Struthio camelus: one gene and its partners. The protein of the gene in region 1 purifies or fractionates together with the protein of each later gene. This does not show direct contact. Links are inferred from orthologs where the notes say so. Each region holds a gene or a part of one and is shown in the gene's direction. Other genes may lie near its edges.

Region 1 (7,662 bases):
TGCTGTAGACGCAGAAACAAAAGCAGCAGGCTGGACTGCAGTTTGTTGGGCTTCCAGGAATCACCTTGATTGTGATGACCCCCTATACCCTCTTCATAATTTCCCTTCTCTGTATCTTCTCTGTGTGCAATATTCCCTTTCGCTAACAGGCCTGTAGGGCATCCAAACAGATAGACATAATATATATCCACATTGTGTTTCCCTCTTCAAGGATCATTCCAAATTTAATTATGTGTTGTCAAGTTGGTTGAAAGATCTTTGAAGGGGATAAGAATCAGTCATGAACAGGTGTTACAGTTATTTTATTCCACAGTTGGATTTACCCAATGAAGAGGAAAGATCCTAGATTCATGGCAGCAGCATGCAAGCTGATGTCTTTTGTTATGGTAACAGAGTATAGATTGCTAGGTCTGAATCCAGTATCTCTTTCCTTGCATATGTATGCTCTTTCTGCCATCCATCCTACTGTTTCCCACAGCAGTTTGTTGGGAGAGGATTGGTTCTTCAGCCTCCGGGGGAAGGTACCAATGAAAAGGGACTAATCTTCCTTGGAGAGCTGGACATTTATTTAGAGACATCTAGAAACTAGGATGGGTTCACGCTGGTGGGTCTGTAGGTAAAATGGCAATGCAGGTGAATTCCTTGAAAAGCAGCAATGAGCAGGGTTGGAAGACAGGTGCATTGTTCTCTTTTTGTCTTTTCCACAAACTTTCTTAGACCCAAGAGATTACCTTTGTAGTCTGTGAGCCATTCCTCTTCTTTCTATTGATTCTGTCTTCTGTGCACTTTGCTTCTCTATAGATAGCCCTATTTCATTAAAGTAGTGTGCAGAAAAAGATGTTTGCAATTCTTCAAACACTAAAGAATTGCCCAGTCTAAGCCTGCTTAAAACTGCTGTTGTATCACCATTTTTTTTATAATCAAGTCTTACTTTTGCCACAGGGAAGGACAGAATTTGGGCTAGAAGGTCCTGGTACGCAACAAGAGTAGCTAGCTCTTGCAATTTAGTTACACCAGCTGGTGATGAAAGATCACTGTATATGGAGTGGGAAATAGTTGGTAGGTTGAAGGTTGAGCTGTGCTCCCTTTCTCTCCTATGGGACGGTCAATGGTGTGCAGTGAAATCTCACAACCCAGAGATTCCCTTCCTTTGGTATTAACATTTTTATCAATTTTTCCCCCAAAAAACAACTCCCAGGGCACAAAAACACCTACAGAAGATGCTGATGCTTTTCAGCCAGACAATGTGAAGCGTAAATCATTAGGCTAGATATTTACACAATAAAGCATGTCTGTCTTCAAGTGACTGGCTGTTTGTCTGCCACCTCTTCAGATCTGACACTGACAAAACAGAATAGAGAAAGAAAAAGGTCTCTTGTCCTGCCAGATGAAAAGTGTCATTATTCCTCAAAGGAAGGAAGGGAGTGTGGGACTTTATCAGCAACATACGCACCACACTTAAATGGAAGCCCTTTCAGAAGGACAGCCCATCCAAGAGAACATACTGTACATCTCAACTGCAGTCAAACAATTCCAGTGTCATTACATATCTTTGGGAACTATGACTCCGATATAACCAAGACAAAGATCTGGATTTTCATGGTAACCTCCTGTCAAGAGATAAAGACAATTCTTTTAAAGTGCTTCTTCTTCTCTTTAAAGTGTATTTTCATCTCCTGTCAACGATCTGCTAATTTAGTGTATATAAAAAGATCTCTTTCGATCTGAATTACTTGCTGCTGCAATCCAGCAGCTCTAAATGTTTGTCTTCCTATTTTACAATTTCTTTAGAGTATACATTTTTAGGGATGACAGTTTCTCTCCTAAAATATTTCTGAAGCTGAAAAACAATTTCCAGTTTGTTTGTTTGTTCCTTTACAAAGGAGGTAAAAGAGGTGCTTCACTAAAATTCATAGGAGCTGGAATTCATTACATACTATCTTAAATTAGCTTCTGTCACAGTATTGATCAGCCTGGGAAATTTCTGTGCTATACTCAGTGCCCTTTCCAATGCCTGCCTTCTTTTACCTATTTTCATTCCTTCTTTTATTTGTCTTCACTGAAAATATGACATGACTCGTTGAATGTGAGCATGTGTTTTAACAACTGAGGACCTGCAAGTATTTGCCTACATGTTCCACTTTAAGCAAATGAGCTGTCCAAACTGCTCGTGTGCTTAAAGTTAAATAAATACCTATTGCGTACACAGTTTTTCATCCAAAGTCCTGCTCTATATTTAATATCATTTTTATCTGTTAGGAACATCCTTCTGTAATTAGGAATACGTTATCATATTCTCATCAAGCATTTCTCAAAAGAAATACACCATTACTTTGAATGATTTTCAATGTTTCATACCCTAACCTCTTTGTTTTACAGGGCATGACCTCAGATTTTCTGAGCAAACAAGTTTATTCAAAAATGGTGCGTACTTTAAAATTACATAGCTTCTGCAGTATGTGGTAGAAACACATGCAGACTATACTCTTGATTTGAAAGCTAGCATTGCCTTACTATCTGAACAAAAACAGGTAAGTTGAAAAATTTTGTTAAAATATGAATTTTTAATAATTTGAAAATAAATATTTTTTCAAAATTAAAACAGGTTTTCTATTTTTACACATCTAATTGTTTTCTTACTACTTTATATTCAGGAATTGCTGAAGTGATTTTTTAAATCTCTGAATACACATTCAAAATACTATTGCTTTCTATATTACAATATTTCATATTTATAGCACTCATAGAACAGAAATGAACACACCAACAGCCTCACTAACGAATGCACACTGAAACCCCAAATCAATAAGGTAACGGTAACCAAAATCATTTTGCAATACTGAACTTGACCAAATCAAAAAATTGAAATGCTTCGGCAAGGTCATATGTCCATCTCTCCCATTTGCATTTGCAATATGAAATCAGTGAGATTCACTCTTCAGTCACTGATGTGATTTTACCTAAGATGGGAGCCTTAAGTATGGACTAGCCTGTGTGCGAAAGGTTCAAAGTAACTTTGTTAATTTATGGGAAGGCATTATTAGCACTGCAGTAATTTTATTCTGAAGAGACTATATTTTCAGGTAACAGGATTACATATACATGCATTGTTAAAACCACTTTAGTGTCTTTAGGACAACAAATGTTTTAGCTTGTTGGCTGTAATAGTTTTGTAAAGTTCAGATAGGATTTCCTCCAGGGGTGGCATTAAAAGGCACCTATAAATTAGTTAATTATACGTTCTAATCTAAAATTAAAACAGAAAAAGATCAAATTCAGCTTGATTAAAATTTATGATCTGAAACAAACAAATGATATAACTGATGATTTAATTTAAATTGCCCGGCTGTCTTGAAAAAGGAATTTCCCCAGGAGTCAGCATAAAAATGAATATGTCATGTTTTCAGGCACAATTTAAAATTATATACAAGGAAAGAGTGAGTATTCATAATTGCCCTTGGCAGTACTACAGTAATGCAAAGATAAAAGTCAAAGTTTAATCCTAAACTGTTATGTATGCTCTACTTTTAAACTATTATAATTCTCACACTGATTTATGGGCTAAATATAAATTCTGTCCAGGCCTTTTACAAAGTGTAAAGCATTCATTGCCTTTCAGAGATGGTAGAGCCATATTCATCTTATCTAGCTATAATGAGACCCTAAAAAGGTAGCTAGCTACCTGTGGTTTTGCATTACATTCATCTAAACATAGATTATGACCAATGCAGGGAGTTTTGGCCTTCCCTGTGCCCATGGTCCATCTTTCCCTTGTGTACGTACCAGCCTTAGTTTGGATGATACTGGTTGATATAACAAAAAATGGCTGACCTAAAACTGGCTGATCTAACAAAAATGACGAGTTCTTGATTCAGCTCATCCAAAATACTACCATGGGCCCAGACAGGGACGCAATCTCGTGAGGAGGGCATAACCTTCCCTCAAATCTAGCCCATGCTTTCTGATACTGCTTGGTAGTAAAACCCATGCACTTAGATCCATAGCTTCATTTCAATGTCCTCCCATGTAACCAGGGGCCACAGTGCCAAAAACAGCTGTGACATTCTCCTCAGCGTCCTCCTGTGCAGCTGCAGTACCACCAGACCCTCTGCTGTGCTCCTCAGCACGCTCCTGCGCAGCTCCGGTGCCACCAGGCCCCACGCCGGGCTCCTCCTCAGTGTCCTCCCGTGCAGCTCTGGTGCCACCAGGCCCCACGCCGGGCTCCTCCTCACTCCCATGACACTACTCCATTCCTCCATTCCCGTGACACTACTGCTGCCCTGGGTGATCAGTTCAGCTCTCTGAGCCCGCAGAAACCTGCCTGCCCGCAGGCACTGGGCACCAGACAGAGTCGCGGCCCGCCCGGGAAGAGCCAGCGCCCCATCCCAGGCAGCTGGGGTGAGCTCCCGGCCGCAGGGCGCTGGCAGGGCCGTGCCCAGCGACGGTCCCCCCACCCTCTCCTGCCGGGGAGCGGGGCCCAGGCCCGAGGCAGCCGGGAGCCCAGTCCACGGAGGCCGCGAGCGCCAGCCGTGACCGCGGGACGAAGGTCCCCAGCGGCCGCTGTCTCCGGCGCAGGCTGACGGGGCCCTGAAGGCCGCCGGGCCGCGCCGGGCCGGCGGGCGCCGCGTTACCATGGCACCCGGCGAGCTCGCGCCCCCCGCGAGCGCGCGCGCGCACGCGCCGGCAGCCGCGCGGCGCCCATATGCGGCCGGGCCTGTCAGCTGTGCCCGGCGGTTGCGCATGCGCAGAGGCCGGAGCGGTGTTCGCAGCTGAATTGGCCGTGCCGCCGCGCTCCCTTCAGCCTGGCCATGTCGTACGGCCCGCTGGACCTCTACCGGCCCGCGGCGCCGCCGGGCCCGCTGCCGCGGGACTTCGGCAGCATCATCCAGACATGCAGCGCCAACGTGCAGCGCATCGCGCAGTACAGTGAGTGCGGCCGGGCCCGGGTGGGGCGGGGAGGCCCGGCCCGGCCCGGCCCGGCCGCGCCCCTGTGACGGGACTCCGAGGGCCCCGGGAGCAGAGAGGGCGCCCGGGGCCCGGGGCGGGCGGCTGCTCGGTGGTGGTGACCGGGCGGGAGGCAGCCCCTGCGCCGGCGGGGCCCGCCCCTGGCTAGGCCGGTGCTGGGAGGGCGCTCTGGCAGGGCCGTGCCCCGGTGGGACAGAGGAAAGCGCTGTCTGTCCCAAATCTTGCGCTTCTGAAAGCGAACGCCCTTCCCGAGTATGGCAGCGAAGCAGACTGCCTGATCCCCGAGTTAGGCGGGAAGCGTTATCCCCCAGGGAGCAGCCTGCGCCTAGGATGCAGGCGCACACAACAGCTAGCAGCAGAACGACCTCATCCGTGAATTTTAATTAGTAGCTTGCTTATATTGTTTGTTACCACCGCACGTGCAAATGCATGCCAGCATCGCATTTGGTGCAGTGTCTGTGAAATTCCTATCGAGTTGTGTTACTCTCCAGCGGAACTTGCATCCCATGTTGCTTGCCAGAACGAGGCTTCTGATTCACTTTTATCTGCCTTTGCATGTGGTTTTGCTAAGTGAAAACAGGGAGCCAAAGACAACCGCTTCGTTGTTCAGAGAATCTGTAAGAGGTTTCTTGTTGCAGGAATTTCTGAAGGCTGATAATTTAACAATTCTTCTTAAACTCGTTGGCAGAGTTCTGCAGAGAAGCAACAGTTGTTAGACAGAATGTTGTTAAGTAAATGACACTGCAGTTCTTTTGGTCATCTGACAGTCATTAAAAAAAAAGTTATGAATGATCATAAGCTAATCATTGAAATCCTAGGACTGATCACTGAAATAGTACTTACTGAATGAGTTGTTTCCAAAGGAGTCTTTGATCTAATGCCAGTCTTAGAAAAGGCGTTCTATAACCTAATCTAGATGCAAGTTTTTTAGGGGCAAGGCCAGTTAAACATATTGGTTCCCCTGAAACTTGGTAACTTCTCTAACGTGATTATACTAGGCTATTAGTATTCCTGAAACTGCCCTGCATTAGCTCAAAGTTGTTTTCACTTCCTTTGGTATAGCTGTGGCCACCAGTTAAATCGCTCTTAAATTCTCCAAATGATATTTTGTTTATTTTCTTTTTTCTTTCTCTCAGATCTCCCTTTGAGAGCCTTCCTCTCACATTAGCTCAGTTCCTCTTTCTCATAGGACAAGCCTCCACTGTATCATGACCAGTAGCCATCCTATCTCAGTGTGCTGCCTCTCTCAAGGATTAACAGGCTTTATCAAGATGAGCAGAAGCACACAGAACGTCTAACTTAATGTTAGAGTAATCAATTTTATTCCATGTTTTATAAAACCACTCCACTGAAGCCCAGGAGGAAAAGAGAAACTGATGCCTTAAACTTTTCCTCAGCTGTCATTTCATTCGTTGGGGGGGGGGGGGGGGAAACAAGCAAACAGTGGATATGGCAGACTTTCGTTCTCTCCTCTTGGGAAACTCCATAGAGTTACCATGTTGTGCGAACTGTATTTAAAAACAAAAACAAAAAAAAACCAGAAAAACAGCTAGTGGCCTGAGCTACCAAAACTATTGCTTGCAAGACTATTATGGTAGCTCAGCATCTAGGTCAGAGATTTAAATGTTATAAGTAATCTGTAAGTGTACAGCAGTCTCTGTAGAAGTATTTACAGTGCAAAATGAAAGGGTTGGGAAACTGAAAGCTACTGACTGACAGGGCTATTTTTCTGACTCTCCAGCTGATGTGAATGGCCCCTATCCAGAGAATCATAAAGGAAAAAATTCCCAGTCTCTTTCTTTAGCCTCCTGGTCTCTTGCTGTCCTTTTGTGTAGATTCTGTGCATTGTCGTTGGCTGAAATAAGTAAGCGCAGCAAACTACTAAACCTGTCTTGTACCAGGACTAGAATAGAGATTCTTGCACTAATTCCATTTCCACTCCAGAAGATGCTCAAAACAAAACAAAACAATCCCTCCACCATCACCCCGCTACACACACCTGCAAAAAGCAAGGCACGGAATGTCTAGACACTGCAGAGTACAGTCAGTGTGCTAATTTAACTTGACTGTGGACTTTTCTGGTCTTCCAGTAGATGATAATTTGTGATATAAGTGTAGTCTTGCTCACTAGAATACACACATTCAGCTCGGTGTATAGGAAGCTGTTACACAACTCACTGTGTGAGCTGATAGGATTCTAGAAAACCAGTATGTTCTCTGCATGCAGAAGTCAGAATCCTTGCCTGTTTATTAATTAAATCGTATTGCAGCTTTAGCTGAGCTTTCACTGTTGTAAGTTATTGGGCATGACTTTAAAAGAAGTGGCCAGTCTAGAAGTCTGATGTTTCCTTTGTAACATGTTTCATCAACTGAAATGGCCTGCTCCAGGCTGAAAGCAGAAATTACACCAGCAGGATGTAATTGAATTGGAAGTAGCTCTTGGTAACGTCCGGTATTGGGTATTTCAACTTAATGTGGTTCTACAGGCAGCTGAATCGAGTTTATCCTTTTTGGCCTTGCCTGTCTCACCACTTGGAAGCCTAGGATATGATTTCATAATCAGTTTAAACAGTCAGACATTCTACTGCTGTCAGAAGTGGTGCCCCCAGTATCTCTTTAGCAATACTAACAATTGTGCAGCTGTAGAATAAAACAGATCAGCTGACCAAAAATAATATTGGGGGGTGTGAGGAAAGA
Region 2 (7,562 bases), on another chromosome or scaffold:
GGAGAAGAGCCCAAATAAAGTCTGTAGCCGGCCTGCCTTCAGGATCCATGATGCAAAGTGGGTGGGACCAACTGTTCAGGTTGATGTGTTGCCAGGTCTCATCATTAGCAGGTGGCTAGACATGAATGAGAGGGACAATCAAAAAAACTCAAGGGGCGGGGGGAGGGGGGGGCACTGCTTGTCAGCAGAGAAATCTCATCTCAGCTTGAAAACAAAGGAAACTTTGCCACAAGTTGCTATGTGCAAGTCCTAATTCATACGCTTAGGATGTGCCTGGGGAGCCTTTGAGACTTCAGGCACCTACCAGCAAGCCTCAAGGGTGCTGAACCGCACACAAAATGAACCCAGCAATGCCTGCAGCCAGAAGTCAACCTCTGATCCTCCTGCTGCTTTTGGCTCAAGTGCTTGCAAACAGCACTGCCAGCTAGCACTTCCTAAGCAGGCTCGTTTGGGATCCCCTCCAAAACCAATAAGTCACTTAATTAATTGTTCTGCTGTCAGAGGGCTGAAGATCCTCTGACCTTTCCGCAGGCTCAGCACAGCCACCGTGGAGCCTGACATGGCCCGACAGCCCCCAACCATTTCCTCTCTCAGCAGCATCGAGAGGTTTCAAGGTTAAGTGTGGAGCCAGGCCCAGACGAGTGCTGAACTCTTTACATCCTGCCCGCAGCCAAATCCTCAACCGCTCCAGGAGTTTTATAACCCCTCACATTTCCTGCTGTGTAGCAACACTGCACAGCAGTCCCATTCCTCCTTCTGCAGGTACAACCCCCACAAGGAATTGACTCAGCATTTCAGAAGGGGGGATGCAGACTGATTTCCGAGGAGGAGAGTTCACCCAGGCCTGCAGCACAACTCAAGGGCAGGCTCCCGAAGCACCAGATCTCACAGAAGGGTAGATGTGATGCAGCAATGTTACGATGACAACGAAGACGCTGGACTGATATGGTCTCTGTCATCTCCCAGCATCTTGCAATCCATTCCCACGATCAAAGCACTAAGTCTTACTGACAGGGAAAATAAGGTAGTAGCAAAAACACTTTCCCTTGGTGCGGAAAGACAGCGTATAAGTGACTTGCCAAAGGCCATTTGGGCAGTCAGTGGCATGGATGAGACACCTTGCAAGCTCTTCCAGTTGCTAGACTCAACACCTCCCTCCTTCTTCCCAGAACCAGCTGCTGGCCTTAGTCTACCCTCCTGTAAGGCTTTTCCAAGAATACATTTATTAAGATTAATATCACCAATCGTACTTAAAAGCTTGTTTTCTTCCAAAGGCTAAAGGCTCATACAAGAACAGACTAACTCAGGAGTCACCTGCCTGCCAGGACAGGTCACATGGTCCACAGTTTGCTTCCTGCACCCCATCCCAGGATTAGAAGTGTGCCTGGGCACGTGCCAAAATCACAAGTGTCCCTCACCCCCCCAAGACAGGTACATTTCTGTTCACTGGGACAGTGACACGCTTGCAGTTTGGGCATAGGATGGGTGAGAAGCCCGAGCACGCAACTGTCGCATACTCCTTAGCTCAGACACAACCCTGGCCCTGCCCGGAACTGCTCCGGTGTCTTCATACAGTCCTCTCCAGCACCTCCACTTCTAATGACAACAGGCACGATCTGCAGTAATGAACTCAGCACTGCATAAATACAGCTGTACTGCATATGGACCCAAACAAGGCAGCTGTACTTGCATTATCCTGCCTTTGGGCTAAAAAGTCCTGTGGAGCGAGCAATCCACACAGCACTTCTACCTGCCCACTGTAGTCAGAGCACGGAGGAGAAAAGGACAGTAGCGCCATCCTACAGATGGGAAACTGAGGCACTGGGTGATTCAACAGTTTGCTCAGAGTCAGTCTCAGTGACAAAGTCTGATGCTGCAGTTAGATTTCCTGAATCCTGCATCAAGGCTTCACCTATTAGACTCTTCCCCTGGACAAAAAGGGGAACAAACACAACAAACAGATGTACAGGCAAGAGCCAAGAGATGCTTTTCCAGGCTGAGATCAAACGTTTACAGTTGAGTTACAGTGTTGTATAAAAAAGATAGGATGAAAAACAGGATGACTGGGACTTTAACATACAGCACTAGAAGTTGCACTGACTTCAGACTCATTCGCAGAGTTGAAGAAAAACATCTGCACGGGAAGGTGAGAAACAGGACAGGACATATCTCTGGTACAATTGCTGCATTAACTTATGAGTCTGCAGCAAGTGCTTAAGAGAAGCAACATGTGGCAGAGATGCAGAAGTCGATCCACCATGCAAGACGCTACCATGAGTTTAGCTTTCTCTGCCTGCTTACTGCAATCTGCGCACCCACTGCATTGATCGGGTAGACAAAAGCCAGAGCACGGCTGTTTCAGGCAGCTGAAAGAAATACTCTGTGTTGAACAAGTTCGCTTCACAAGAGATTTGATTTCTCTCTCCTCTTTCCTGTGAAGAGTCCTCTGACACAATTCTGGATCTCAGCCAGAATGTAAGCTTCCTTTCTTATCAAGCTATTGGCCCACCTAGTCATGTTATGATGATAGCATAGATGCTATCTGATGCTTCAGAGGAAAACAGCCACCTTCCCTCTGAGAACACGCCTCCTGAAGGATGGAGTCCTTTCTGGTCCCGGCACCAATCAAGCCTGCAGCTGGAGGCAGAAAGCTGAGATTTTTCAGGGAGTTCTTACACATCTCACCCAGGAGGTGTTTATGTACCAAACTACCCATCACATGAAAACTCCTTCTCCTACGAACCAACCTGGAAGAAAGCCCTGACTCCTGTGGGATAGAGAATTTTGCTCTTCTGGAGTCTTTTGTCTTTGGTTACATGCTGACTTGCCAATAATATTACCAAGTTGTTCTTGTATTATGGTACAGGAAGAAGGAAGAACTGACGAGATCACAAAGCAGCTTTTGGGATCTGAAACGCAGGACTGATCAAATTAAAATGTTTCACGGACCGCAGAGATGGAAAAGCCCAAGGTTATCCAAGGTATACCCTCCCAGCAAGGTCAGGATACAGCCCTGGAGGCCTGGCCACCCACGCCTCAGACAACCTCCTCAGCCACAGTCTCTCATCCTCAGAAAGTTCTCCTGCTTAGGGAGGCTGTGATTTATGACGATGAATTATTTAGCATTGAATTTGGTGCCTAGGTACTGCAGTGGTGTATATATTAGCACAGCACTGAGCTATATGGGATCAGGATCGGATATGAAGTAGGACTGTTCCCTTCCTGCAAGTCACTTGTTCCTACAAGTCACTTGTTCCTATCCTAACTGCTGTTTACGCATAATTTGTCTTTTATGCTAGAATATACAGTCTTCTGCTGGTTCAGTCTGTATGAACCAATAACAGTCTCTACGCCTTCTCCTGGTTTTTTACGGTACTGCATTCCTCCCTCTGAGAGCCTGGTTTGCTGCCAAGGGCCTCTCTCATAACTGCAGCGCTTCAAACCTCCATTTCATTCATCACGTGAGACTTGCAGGATCGGGCTTCCTTGCAACAGCAGCTTTCAACCCGCGGCTTGCACACACCAGGGGCAAGAGTTTGGTCATGCAAAACCTGAAAACGGAAAGTAAAACAAACAAACAAACAAACAAACCCCAACTATTGCCTAGAGACTGGAGTTCCTTCTGTAGGGTAGGCCACGGCATCAGGAATAGTTTTGGAGCCCCCAGATTGAGAGACTATGAAAACCTGTTGTGCTAGGTCCTCCCCGAAGGGAGCTTGTAAAACCAGACAAACTTAAAAGAGCCCATTTGTTTCTGCTGTACAGCTGCCCCGGTCCTCAGCTCCCCCTGTTTTTGACTGAGAGGCTGGCGCGCAGAAGAGCAGACCATCCTGTGGCAGCTCTCCCCGTAGCCACGCGTGCTGTCATCTGCCAGCTTGGTGCCTCAAACCCCGCTAGCGCGAAGTGTGGTGCCATCTAGCGCCTTTCACTGCCTGCAACGGGTACCAGAGAGGAAGGAAGGAAGGAAGGAAGGAGGGAGGGAGGGAGGGAGGGAGCAAACTCCGGCCAGCGACCCCGGGACGGGTGCAAGCGAGCAGATGGGGCCCGCTGCCAGCGCCTGCACAGCCAGCCGAGGCCTGGCGGTCGCAAACGCGTAGCGAGCCACCTCCGACAAACAAGGCTGCTTTTGTAAAACGCCAGTCCTGGCCTCTTCTCGGCCAGCTCGTTAACGCGACACCGCCGCTGCTCGCTACAGGGCAGTAAAGGGAGCCTCAAACAGCAGCACCGCAAGGCGCGCAAGTCAAACGACGCAGGCCGCCACACGGCGGGGCCCGCCCGCCCCTGGCCGAGCGCCCCTGGCCGAGCGCCCCTGGCCGAGCGCCCCTGGCCGAGCGCCCCTGCCTCCCTGCGCGGCGGGAGCGACCCCTCCGACCTGCCCCGGCCCCGGCCCCGGCCAGCCCCGAGCCGCCGCCGCCGCCGCCCGCCGCGGCACTCACCACCTCCAGCACGGCCTTCTTCTCGCCCTCCTCCGCCATGGCCGCGCCGGCCCGCGAACTACAGCTCCCAGGAGGCAGCGCGGCCGCGGCGGGAACTACAAGCCCCAGGGGGCCGCGCGGCGCCGCCGCGCCGGAAGTGCGCGCGGGCGACGCGCGGCGGGGCAGCCGCAGGGCGGATAAGAGCGCGGCGGGCGGAGGCGCCTGCGAGCGCGGCGCCTCGTCCGCGCCGGCCGGTGAGCGGGGCCGCGCCCGGTGCCTCTTCCCGCCCCGCCCCCCCTCCGGGAGAGCAGCCGGGGGGGGGGGGAGCGCGGGCCGGGGCCAGAGCGGAGCCCTCCGGGGAGGCGGCCTGGGCCGGGCCCGCCCGGGCAGGCGGCGGGGGGTGTCTGGGGCTGCCACAGGGCCGCGCTGCTTCCTCGGCAGGTCCCGTTCCCCCTTCCCCCCCCCCCCCGGGCCTTAACGCACCTCCTCGTCTCGGCCCTGAAACCTGGGGGCTCCTGAGCGGGGTCGGGTGCCAGGGGCAGGGCCGCCTGCCCAGCTCGGCCTGGAGCGGCCCGGTCCGCCCCGGGGGGGTGGGGGGGAGGGCTGCCTTCACAGCTGCCTGCTTTAGTTAACGTCTGGGCTGTGGCGTTGCTGGTGTAACTCAGGTGATGAGGGTCTTAAAGGTTAGGTGCTGATGAATAATCTGCAGCGGTGCTTGTGATAGGAGGGTTGGGGGAGAGGCTGTGAGTAATCATGCTCTAGGATGTGTTTCAGCTGTTCTGTGTTACCTCCTTAGTGTGCTGTTTAGTCGAGAGCTGTGATGTTGTTTCTTTACTCCCTCTTGTAAAACGTGTGATGTTGCCTTCCAGAAAAGGTGGTGGGCCTGGAAGAGAGACTGGATTAATCTTGCCTAATGACTTGTATTCCTAGTGATGAACCAGAAGAGGCACCTGGAGTAAGCTGTGTGGGCAGAGAGGAAGCTAAACTGTTCGGTTAAGTTAGTGCATGAAGTGTGTGCTTCTCAGGCTTAAAATGAACAAATAAGCTCTGGGACTTAAAAGTTGGAATACCCCTAAACTATTTTTAAAAATTAAAAAAAGAAATGATTGCTTAGGGAAGTGAAGGAAGGGTTAAAGGGAAGTCTAGACTGCTTTCTGCTGAAGTCACTCTACTCAAACGGTCTTTTCATTGCAGCCAGGCAGCTTGCAACTTACAGAGTTGCAACACCTTAACTTATTTCAGGTTTAAAGCCAGTAGTACTGTGATGCCCCTTGCTTTCTGTACAGTGCATTTCTGGAAATATAAGCAGTAACTTCCTCGCTCACTTAGCCCTGAAGCTTTTGAATGCTTTGATCAAGCAGCACTGGTGAGTCCCCTCTGGCTGGTAAGGGCAGTACTGCTGAGTGATAGAGAATGGGTGCAGTTTCTCTGGGTTGAGCTCTTGCCCCAGCTATCTTAGCTACCATCAGACAGTTTATTCTCGGTCGTTAGTGAAGTGTGAGCACCAAACAAGTTCTGTGTGTGTTTTTTTTTAATCTCACTTGAAAATAATAGGCCGTTTGTTATATTTGGAGACTTCATGGCTGAAACTTTAAACATTGCATTGCAGACTGAGCCTGTATATTTTTCATTCTCTAAGATGCTGCACACTTTTCTGGGCCCTTCTGTCAAATATCACAGGAGAACTTGCACATAGCAGTGTGATACATCTTGCATTTAGTCCTTAATGTATGAATGCAAAACTCAACTCCCCTTTAGTACTTAAGCTGTACCTGATGCTTTGGGCACATCTTAAGGAGCTTTTTGGGTCTGGTGTTTTCTAGGTGGCTGAGGAATACAGCCTTTCCCTCCTGCCCTGGAGCCTTTTGATGTAAGGCCTGCCTGGTATTTCTGTGAGTTCAAACTGTCCTTTAGGAAGGCTTGCTCATGGTTGTTTTCAGCTATTAACTATCTTAAGTTTAGACAGACACTAACTCTGATTTCTAGGTTATATGAAGAGATTATATGAAGTAGTTGACTTCAGTGGATATAATTCCAGACTCTCTTGTAGCTTATGAGGAAAGATGTTTTCCAGAAGTTTAGCAGTTTGTTTTTTTTTCTTTAAAAGAAAGCACAAGTATCTTCTCCTAAGAGCTGGATGAGACACTGCTTAGAGAAATGTGCTCATTGTTAAGTTTGTTTTACTCCTTTTAATCAGCTTCCAGCAAAGCTGAGAGGAGAGTAGCTGGGAGAATGTGGCTGTTGACTACTAAGTAAGGCTGAAATTTGATTTCAGTCAGTTGGTTTCCCTGCTTACACAGGATTGCAGAGCCAAATTACTGACTTCTGGTGAAGCTGTATGGATAGCTTCTGAAGTCTCAGCTAGCTAGCTAGCATCATCTTACTTGTATCCTGTTGGTAACAGCCCTACTGAACTCCTGTCTCACGAAGAGCTCTACAAATAGCCTATATTAAAAGGGTGGAGACTCTTAAAGTTGTGGCAAGGACTTTAGAATCCTCAATTTGAACCTAGAGTTCTTCATTTTGGGAATCAAGGTATCTCTGTGCTTGGGTGGGCTTTGTAGTTCTGAGGTTAGTTGCTGTATGGCAAACTACTGATCCTTCACAGATGTGTGCATGTGTTTTGTTTTGTGTGTTTTTTTTAAACTGGTCCTTTGTATTGGTCCTATTCTCTTTTTCTATGCGAAAAGACTTGTTTCCTGATATTTGTCAGTCACCTGATTGCTCAAGAGGCTTAATCATGTTTGTTTAGTCTCAGCTGTGACCTAGTGTTATACCACATGCTGACACTGTTCTGGTTATGTTGCTGAGCTGGCCAAAACACTGCAGACTCTCTCAGGGGCTCTGATCAGACATGATTATATTCATTTCTCTTGTTTCAGTTAGTATTGTTGCAGATCAGTGCGCTGTTGTAATCCTTGTTGCAAACTCTTAGAACTGTGCTTTCTGCCCAGCAGTTCCTTCCTGGTAGGAAGTAGGAAAAGCATTGGTGATGGCTCCTGAAGAGACTTAGCACCCTGCTGAAGAGGAGTTGAGTGAGTAGAAAACAGAACAGAGTGAGTTGTGTAGTTCATTTTTGTTGAAATTCCTGAAAATGATCAAAGCTAAAGGGAGGGATAGGTGACCAGTTTAAGCTTGTCTAGAATT
Region 3 (7,691 bases), on another chromosome or scaffold:
CGAGTGAGGGGGTCTGTACCAGCAAGTGGAGCGGGGCTGCAGACTTCAGGGGCTCATATGTCCAGGTGCCAGCAAACTGGGGAGACCGGGGATCCAGGGGCCAGGGCTGAACTGAGTGTCTAAGCCCTGGTGCTGGAGGGATCCACACTGTATGTATGTATATATATCCCACTAACAGACCTTCCTCCTGATCAGCCAGAGACAGAAACAGGATGAGGCTGTTGGTGCCATATGTGTGAGTGCCGAGTGTGTTTGTCTGAGCTGATCTGTGTGGCCAGCCTTGTGTCTATATGTAGTATATGCGTGTTTGTGCAGGTGCCTACTGGGGATACATTCTCAGCCTGGCGACTGGCTGGACCTGTGGACATGGAGCTGCAACAACCTCGCCCCACTGGGCAACTGAGTTTGGCCCTCTTGCCTAACAGACCCCAGCCAGAATAGTTTCTAAACTGATTATGAACTGCTACGTTAATCTCCACACCAGTTAGCCAAAAAGCATTTAAACCAAATTAGCTTGAAACATGAATAACTAAAACAAACACCAGTGAACCTAAGCCATTTCCCAGCTTCTAACAAATGTGGTGGCCCAGTGATACCAGGAACTTCCCCAGTCCTCTCAAAAGGGTTGTAGTGCAGTGCTTTCTCATGTCACAAGATACACCTTGATACAATGAAAGCAGTTGAGGAACGGGGGACTTGTGACTCAGTGGTTACAGCCTCTGGAGAAACAACATTTGGGCTCCTCTGTAATATGCAAGTATGCTGTAGAGCATGACCAACTCCAAAGGCTGTTCGGGCCTCTGCACCAGAGTAATGTGCCATCAGGACACGTTCCCACCACCATTATATCTTGCAGCTGGGGTTTTCACCAAGAAAAAGGATAACTAGGTGCTATCTGTTAGACTCCCAACTCTATAGATGGGAGTGCAAGATAATCCTCCCTTAGATCCAGAAAAGGGACTACTGATACACATGCGCACACATATCAGTTTCAAAGGGATGCTTGCTGATGTAGGACAGTGACTTGCCTCTTCGTGCAAGATCTCTGGCTGTCTCCTTCCCAATGCCTGTGTTGGCTCCTGTGATTATCACCACCTTCCCATCTAGCTTAGCTGTTGACTTACACTGTCCTCCAGCAACATACCTCCTGGAAAAGAAGATAACAGGAACAAGAGGATAACAAGAAAAGGTCCAAGGACAGTTTTTCTGGTTATGAGGTACAGGCCAGGGCTAATCACTTACAGCTCTTGGTTGGCTGTGCCCCAGCAGCTGGGCCAGTTACTGCTCTCAGAATAACCTGTGATTCATGTGGAGAGTTACCTAAAGTGGTTCCACCTGCCAGTTCACTACACCCCTCCTTCCCTCCTCAAGCTTCCAGCAGCTGCCTCCTCTGATTAGGTGTCCCGATCAAGCCACCACGCCAGGTTCCTAGTCATCTTCAAACCCCTCTGCTTTGAGCGTAGCGCCAGTGCTCGAACACAGAGCCGACAAGCCCAGCTCACCCTCGGCGCAGCTGACGGCCAGTCGTGCGGAGAGGAAGGCTCGGCGAGGACAGAAGGGCGGGCACCATCACCGCCTGGCACAGAGGCGCCTCTCCCAGGCCCTCGCGGGTGAGGCTCGGGTTTCCACGCCGTGCTGCCGCACTGCCACCAAGAAACTCGCAGCCACGCCGCTAGCCCGGCGGGAGAGGCCAGTCGCGTCGCTCTCGGTCGGGCCCCCGCCGCCCTCCAACCGCCGCCCTCGCGCCGGCTTCGCCCGGCCGCGCCGTTGCACAAAGTGGAGCCACGGCTCCCCATTGGCTGCCGCCATCGGCAGGCGGCCATGCGGCGGCTGAGCCCATGGGCGCGGCGGCGGCTGCCCGCCCCGCCGAGCCGCCGCCGCCGGAGCCCCGCTCGGACCGCCGGATACAGCGGCGCAGCTGTATTTCTGCCTCCTAGGCGGGACGCCTTTCCCGGAATAAATTTCCAGCTGTGGGAGCCTGAGGAAAGGCAGGCAGAAACATTTCAAGCCACCTCTCGAGGAGCAGACGGAGGTGCGAGCCAGCCTACTGCTCGCAGCTGGGGCAGCTGTTGCTTTCTATTGTCTCCCAGTAGCTGATACAGAAGAGCACAGAAACTAGGGCAAAAACTGAGCGGAGACCTAAGAGCATCCCAAATCCTAGGGCATGCGCGAGATTGTTTCAAATACATTGTTAATTAGACACGAGAGCTAGAGAAGTTGAAGTAACATTTTAGCCCCACGAGGTTAAAAAAAAAAACTATTTTATTTACCTTCCTTTTAAAAAAAAACCTAAAACCTGATGGGGACAAAGACCCAAGCAACCAGGATTTTTTTTTACCTAATCCTTCTTCCTAGACATTAAAGGTGCTACTGAAGAACGGATATTTCTATATATCTTTTATTTTCTGCACAGGCATTGAATGATTTGTATTTATTTATTTATTCATTTATTTTACGAACGCAGAAACCAAGCCCGCTGAGAGCTTGCACAGATTTAACACAGCCGGCGCCAGACGGGGCTGGCTGCGATCGCCTTGCTTAAATTCCTGTACGAGCTTTTTTATTTATTTATTTTTTTTTAAGAGTCACAGACTCACGCGCATGCAAACACTAGGCCCCCGGACCCCTGAAATAACGACACACCCCGGCCTGCGCCCGGGTGCTGCACCCGCTCCCGGCGCCGGCACGGACGACGCGACCTGCCCCCTCTCCCATCCGCGCCCAGGAGGGCTCCCCGCGCACCCAAAACACGCGTACAGCAGCCCCGACAGACCTGAGGTAGGGGGCTGCCACAAGGAGGAGAAGCGGGAGTGAGACAGCCGTCCCCAGCACGGCTCCCCAGCAGCTGAGCATCGCCGCCGCCGGCTCCATGCTCGCCGCCGCTCTGCCTGGCAGCCCGGGCCAACGGGAGGCCCCGCCCCCGAGACGCGAGGTATGCCGGGAGCTGTAGTCCGCAGCCGCTTCCGCGCGCGGCATGCCGGGAGCTGTAGTCCGGAGGGCCCCCGCACAGCATGCCGGGAGCTGTAGTCCGCAGCCGCCACCGCCCCCCCCCGCACGGCATGCCGGGAGCTGTAGTCCGGAGCCGCCCCCCCCCCAGGAGCGGAGCCCGCAGCGGACCCCGGTGGCGGAGGCGCGCACCGCTGCCTCCTGGCCGCGGAGGTCCGGTGCGGTTCCGCGTGTCCTCGATCACGGCTGAAGAGCTCTATGTCCCCCCTAGGTTTTCCTTAAAGTTACCCACGCTGTGATTTCGTTTAAATCCCTGCCTGCGCTGTGGGCGAACGACACGTTTTTGCTTGCTTGCCCCGGCGCTGCAGCAGTAGCCTGGCTGCGGAGGAGCAGGCCGGTGCCCGGGCCAGCCTCCCCGGTGCCGCCCTGAGCATCCCCTCCGGCTCAGAGACCACCGCGCAGGTCTGGGCACCCTGGCTGTCGGACACTGGCTGTGGGGCTCGGCGCTGTGCTGCCCTGAGAGCAACGTTTGCAAGACAGCAGGCACCTCACACGTGTGTGCAATGCCCCTACTTCACCCACTAATGTCACTTAATTCCACTAAGGTGAAAGGAATTTCAGCTGTGCTAGCTGCTCTAGAGTCCTCTTCCACTGAGCCTGGTTGCTACGCTAAGAGATTCACGTTTAGCTCTTTGCTGTAAATGTACTACCCTACTTGAAATATCAGCTTGCAGTATAAAGCCAGCTGGCTCTGCACCTTCGGTCTAATGTTTTCTCCCGATGGAGTACACATCTCTAACCTTTGTCTTTCTGAACTATTTTAAACAATAGTTCTGCTGTCTTAATAAAACTTTCCTATTATTCGGCTGGGAAATACCTGAAGAGAAAGCTCAGGAGTGGTCTGGAGGACAGTTATGCAAAACGTCAAAGTAAGGTCATTTATCTTTAAGCCCTTTCTTAGCGTCATTCCTAAATTTATGATATTAACCCCAGCAAAACGTACAAAATGGGTACGTATACCTATATGCCCACACATATAAAGGGCTGGGGGACACGCTCCTGCCTCCAAGTCCGTGTTCAGTCCGCAGATGTTCACTCTCACCTCTACCAGAGAGTTAAAGCAAAAGTCCGGGGCACCAAATTGCTTTGCCTCCTGGTACCTGAGCTTCCCTGCAGACGCGCGTCCTGGCCCCAGCTGCAGACAGCGCGGCGGCCTGGCCGCAGCCCGCCTTCCTGGTTCTCGAGAAGCAGCTGGAACCCAGGGCCCTGCACACACACACCCCTCCGGGGAAAAAGCCTGTTTCAGGGCGTGCCTTCCTGTCAAGGTATACCACCTGTACGACACAAAGACGCTAACCGCAGACGCGACCTGCCATCGCAGTCGGAACGAAGACGTTTCACGTAAAGCCTCTTTCGGGCCGGGAAACATCGGCTGCAGCTTCAGCCGCGCCCGCCCCGCCGCCCCCGCGCAGCCTACGCGCCCCAGCGGGCACTGCGCGGCGCGAGGCCCCGCGCCCCGCCTCGGGGCTGCCCCGGCAGCGCCTGACGCCCCCCGCGGCCGTTGGCGGCCGTTGGCCGCTGCCGACGCCGCGCCAGCCCTCTCGCCAGGCGGCTGGCGGTCGAGCCCCGCGGGGAGCGGTCCGGGGGGGGCGCTGCCGGCCGTGCGGCCGGCGGCACCGGGCGGTTTTGCGGTCGGGCCGCGCTTCGGGGCGCCCAGCGATGCGGAGCGGGGGGTCCACGGCGCCGCCGGGCTGGGAAGCGGCCGCCAGGAAGCGGCGATGCGTCGAGCCGCGCGGTAGCGGCGCGGGCCGGGGGACGCGGGAGCCGGCGGCGGCGGCGGCGGGACGCGGCTGCCTGCCATGGCGAGCCGGGGCTCTGGCTCCTCGGAGCACTTGGAGCGGCTGCATGAGATCTTCCGGGGGCTGCACGGAGACTTGCGGGGCGTGCCGGAGCGGCTGCGCGGCAGCGCGGCCGGTGAGCGGGGCAGAGCGGCGGCCGTTACCCGCGGCCGGGGGGGAGGGGCTGGAGCGGCGCGCGCGGCCAACGGCCCCCGGGCGCGGCCGTGACGGGCCCGGCTGGGCTCCACCGGGCGGCAGGGCCTTGGCCGGCCCTCGGACACCTCCCCCGGCGAGGGGCCGTTCCCCTGGCTGTGGCGGGGTCTGGTCGCTGCGCCGTTCGTCGCTGCTTCCCTTCCTCCCTGCTCGGAGGCCCCTCTGCCGGGCCCTTGCCGGTGCTTCCCGGCCGGCCACCCCGCTGCATAGGTGGGGCCTGCTAACTAACAGGACAGCTGCAGGGAGCCTGGGTTGCTTTTCTGTAGATAAATCCATTTTTACAACCAGAGAACAGAGTCTCTCTAAAAGCCCTTATGGAGGGAAGGAGTTTGCTAGGACAGTTGCAGGAAGTTGGTGCATCACTTCGAGCTGACTTTCCTTCCCCGCGACTGTCCCTTGGTTTGCTTCCTGGGAGGTCATGCTGTCGTGGCTCTGTTAGGTCCGGCTTCTCTATGTCTTATTTTCCCATTACTGCTATTTTCTCATAGCTTTGCTGTGGAGTATTGGGCATAGTCATGTAAAGCCCCAGACATGGAAACAGCTGGGTGCTTGTGTCACTTTACCCCTGGGGAGCAGTTCCTCTTGCCTGGCAAATTGCAGCTCTGCAGCCAAGCGCTGCTGTGCTGCTGGGCGTTCAGCTTCAGTCTCAGCTCGGTGGAGAGGTGGTTACTTGGTGGCACTAGAACTTTACCTGGATTTGAAGTTTTAGCATATTTTCATGCTATTTGCAAGTGAACTGCCTGAATTGCATTTCTCTCATCAGTGTTGCTATCTTGTTTCAAGATTTCAGTTCAAAATCTCATCAGTTGAACTAGAAGCTGTTTTCAGCAGTACGTTTGTCTGAAACAGTTCATAGATTTATTTACCAGTGAAATTTTCTATTGTAAAAGACTGTTTTAAAAGTGTGGTCTGTGCCCTACTCACAGCCTAGAAAAACAATCTAATGTAAAGCAAACTAGACAAAGTTCTGCTAGGCACAAAATCTAATTGTTTAGGAATTCTTTGCTAAGTAATGGAGCTCATACTAGTGGTTAAAACACTCTCTGACAGAACACCTCTCTGTAAAGACTCTGTAGTGCCTTTCCAATTCAGTTCTTAATATTCGGTTGTGTTCTGAGAACTGGAAAGGGAAGTGATCTGGCAAGGAGAATTCTACCAGTGTGGCCGACTCTGGTTAAATACTTGCTTTAAAGGAGAAACGCGATACGTAATTGTCGTGAACTGCTGCAACCAGTTTCTTCTGAGTATGGGTGTTCTTTTGAATGAGTAGAGGTTATAAGCCATGCTCTGTGATAGTTTAGTCTTGTGATCCCCAGAATTCCTTAGTTCCATGTATTTAGGTATAAAATCACAAATCCTGGAAATAATTGGTTTGTTCAGAATCTACCACTCTGCGTGCTAGATAACACGTGCTATGAAAAGCTTAGTATTCCATTTCGTATCTGGCTCTGTATTTAATATTGAGTTAAATTCAGGGTCACAATCCTCATTATCAAGGTTCCAGAGAGTTTGGCACAAGAGGGACATTCAGAACTGCAAATTACAACTTTCAAAGCTGACTTAATTTCACTGCTGGTCAGCAAGAGTAAAAAACATACCCTCTCTTGGAGAATGGCCTGTGAATCTGGATATTGTTTGCATAAAATTTTTTGAAGATGGTTTTATGAGACAGCGACTGTCCCTGCTGCCTTGAAATGCAGGATCTGTCTCTTAATACCTGACTTTAAGGAAAAGAATGAGAAAATACTGTGCTTGCATCACTGTTTACTTGAAGGGCTCTGAGGGAATTGAGAATGTCACTAACATTACTTTGGGTTGAAAAGTTCCATAGAGCAAGAAGTACAACACTCTCTATTGTAATTTAATTTTATATTTATAATATTAAAATAATAGAAATTCCTTATAAGAGATCCTCACTTTCTTGTAGAAAGGAGAGTGATGAGTTTTTCAGTAAAGTAGAGCTTTGTCAAGACTATAATAGTCTTGAGCGGTAGATGTAAACAATATTTACAGGAAACAATTTTTGCAACGCTTGCAGATTTTTCAAAAGATTACAAATAATTACAAATTGATTATTTCAGACATGCTACAAAATTTTAGTATAATGATGTTATTCTTTAAATCTGTTACTGGAAAAAACAATAATACTCTGGAAAGTATTTCCAAGAGAGTTTAAGATATGTTAGGAATTTCTCTATCTGGTGAAGGCATGCTGCACTGCTGGTGTGCTTTGTCTGCTTCTAATACATATGGGGTGTGCATGTCTCTCTTTCTTGAGATATCTGATTCTGAGAACTTCAGGAGACAATAAAAGAAATTTTACACACTCCTTTTAAGATGTCCGGCACCTTCCCAAAACTCCAGGTAAGACAATCTTTAGTTCCTTGGTAGCCATCTTTGAGGGACGCAAATTTGGAAATGCTATTCCGTTCTGTACCGATAAGATAACGGAATCCTTGATCTGGAAACCTTTTCTCTTCCACGTTTATAAGAAAGCATTTCAGATAGCCTGGATCAGTTTAAAATATACGTTTCTCTAAAGAAATTCAGTTTTTTGTACTTACAAAAAACAGTACAGCTTAGGTGCGTCATGTAAATGAGAGGAGCTATATTATAATGTTTTGATCACTTCAAAACTTTCTCCTGTTCAGCTGTTGAAAGCTTAGTGCCTTAAAAAGCTGCTGTTCATGCAGG

The links.
Region 2: the proteins of STX12 (region 1) and VAMP7 purify together in Homo sapiens (affinity purification with mass spectrometry; 3 studies listed by BioGRID and IntAct, counting the BioPlex papers as one, with this or other methods). This does not show direct contact. The link is inferred for Struthio camelus from reciprocal best matches to the Homo sapiens genes STX12 and VAMP7.
Region 3: the proteins of STX12 (region 1) and VTI1B purify together in Homo sapiens (affinity purification with mass spectrometry; 3 studies listed by BioGRID and IntAct, counting the BioPlex papers as one, with this or other methods). This does not show direct contact. The link is inferred for Struthio camelus from reciprocal best matches to the Homo sapiens genes STX12 and VTI1B.

Annotation. Positions count from the first base shown.
Region 1 is NC_090964.1:2,911,213-2,918,874, reverse strand, and holds the start of STX12 (syntaxin-12), read left to right. Parts: upstream 1-4,661; 5' UTR 4,662-4,808; coding exon 4,809-4,926; intron 4,927-7,662. UniProt on the Homo sapiens protein: SNARE promoting fusion of transport vesicles with target membranes. Together with SNARE STX6, promotes movement of vesicles from endosomes to the cell membrane, and may therefore function in the endocytic recycling pathway.
Region 2 is NC_090952.1:3,659,749-3,667,310, reverse strand, and holds the start of VAMP7 (vesicle-associated membrane protein 7), read left to right. Parts: upstream 1-4,546; 5' UTR 4,547-4,669; intron 4,670-5,284; exon of another isoform or gene 5,285-5,370; intron 5,371-5,609; exon of another isoform or gene 5,610-5,781; intron 5,782-6,238; exon of another isoform or gene 6,239-6,307; intron 6,308-7,369; exon of another isoform or gene 7,370-7,471; intron 7,472-7,562. Other genes in the region: DNA-directed RNA polymerases I and III subunit RPAC2, read right to left, coding at 3,444-3,551, 4,437-4,475. UniProt on the Homo sapiens protein: Involved in the targeting and/or fusion of transport vesicles to their target membrane during transport of proteins from the early endosome to the lysosome. Required for heterotypic fusion of late endosomes with lysosomes and homotypic lysosomal fusion.
Region 3 is NC_090946.1:46,592,368-46,600,058, reverse strand, and holds the start of VTI1B (vesicle transport through interaction with t-SNAREs homolog 1B), read left to right. Parts: upstream 1-4,675; 5' UTR 4,676-4,805; coding exon 4,806-4,920; intron 4,921-7,691. Other genes in the region: retinol dehydrogenase 12, read right to left, coding at 1,029-1,147, 2,774-2,976. UniProt on the Homo sapiens protein: V-SNARE that mediates vesicle transport pathways through interactions with t-SNAREs on the target membrane. These interactions are proposed to mediate aspects of the specificity of vesicle trafficking and to promote fusion of the lipid bilayers.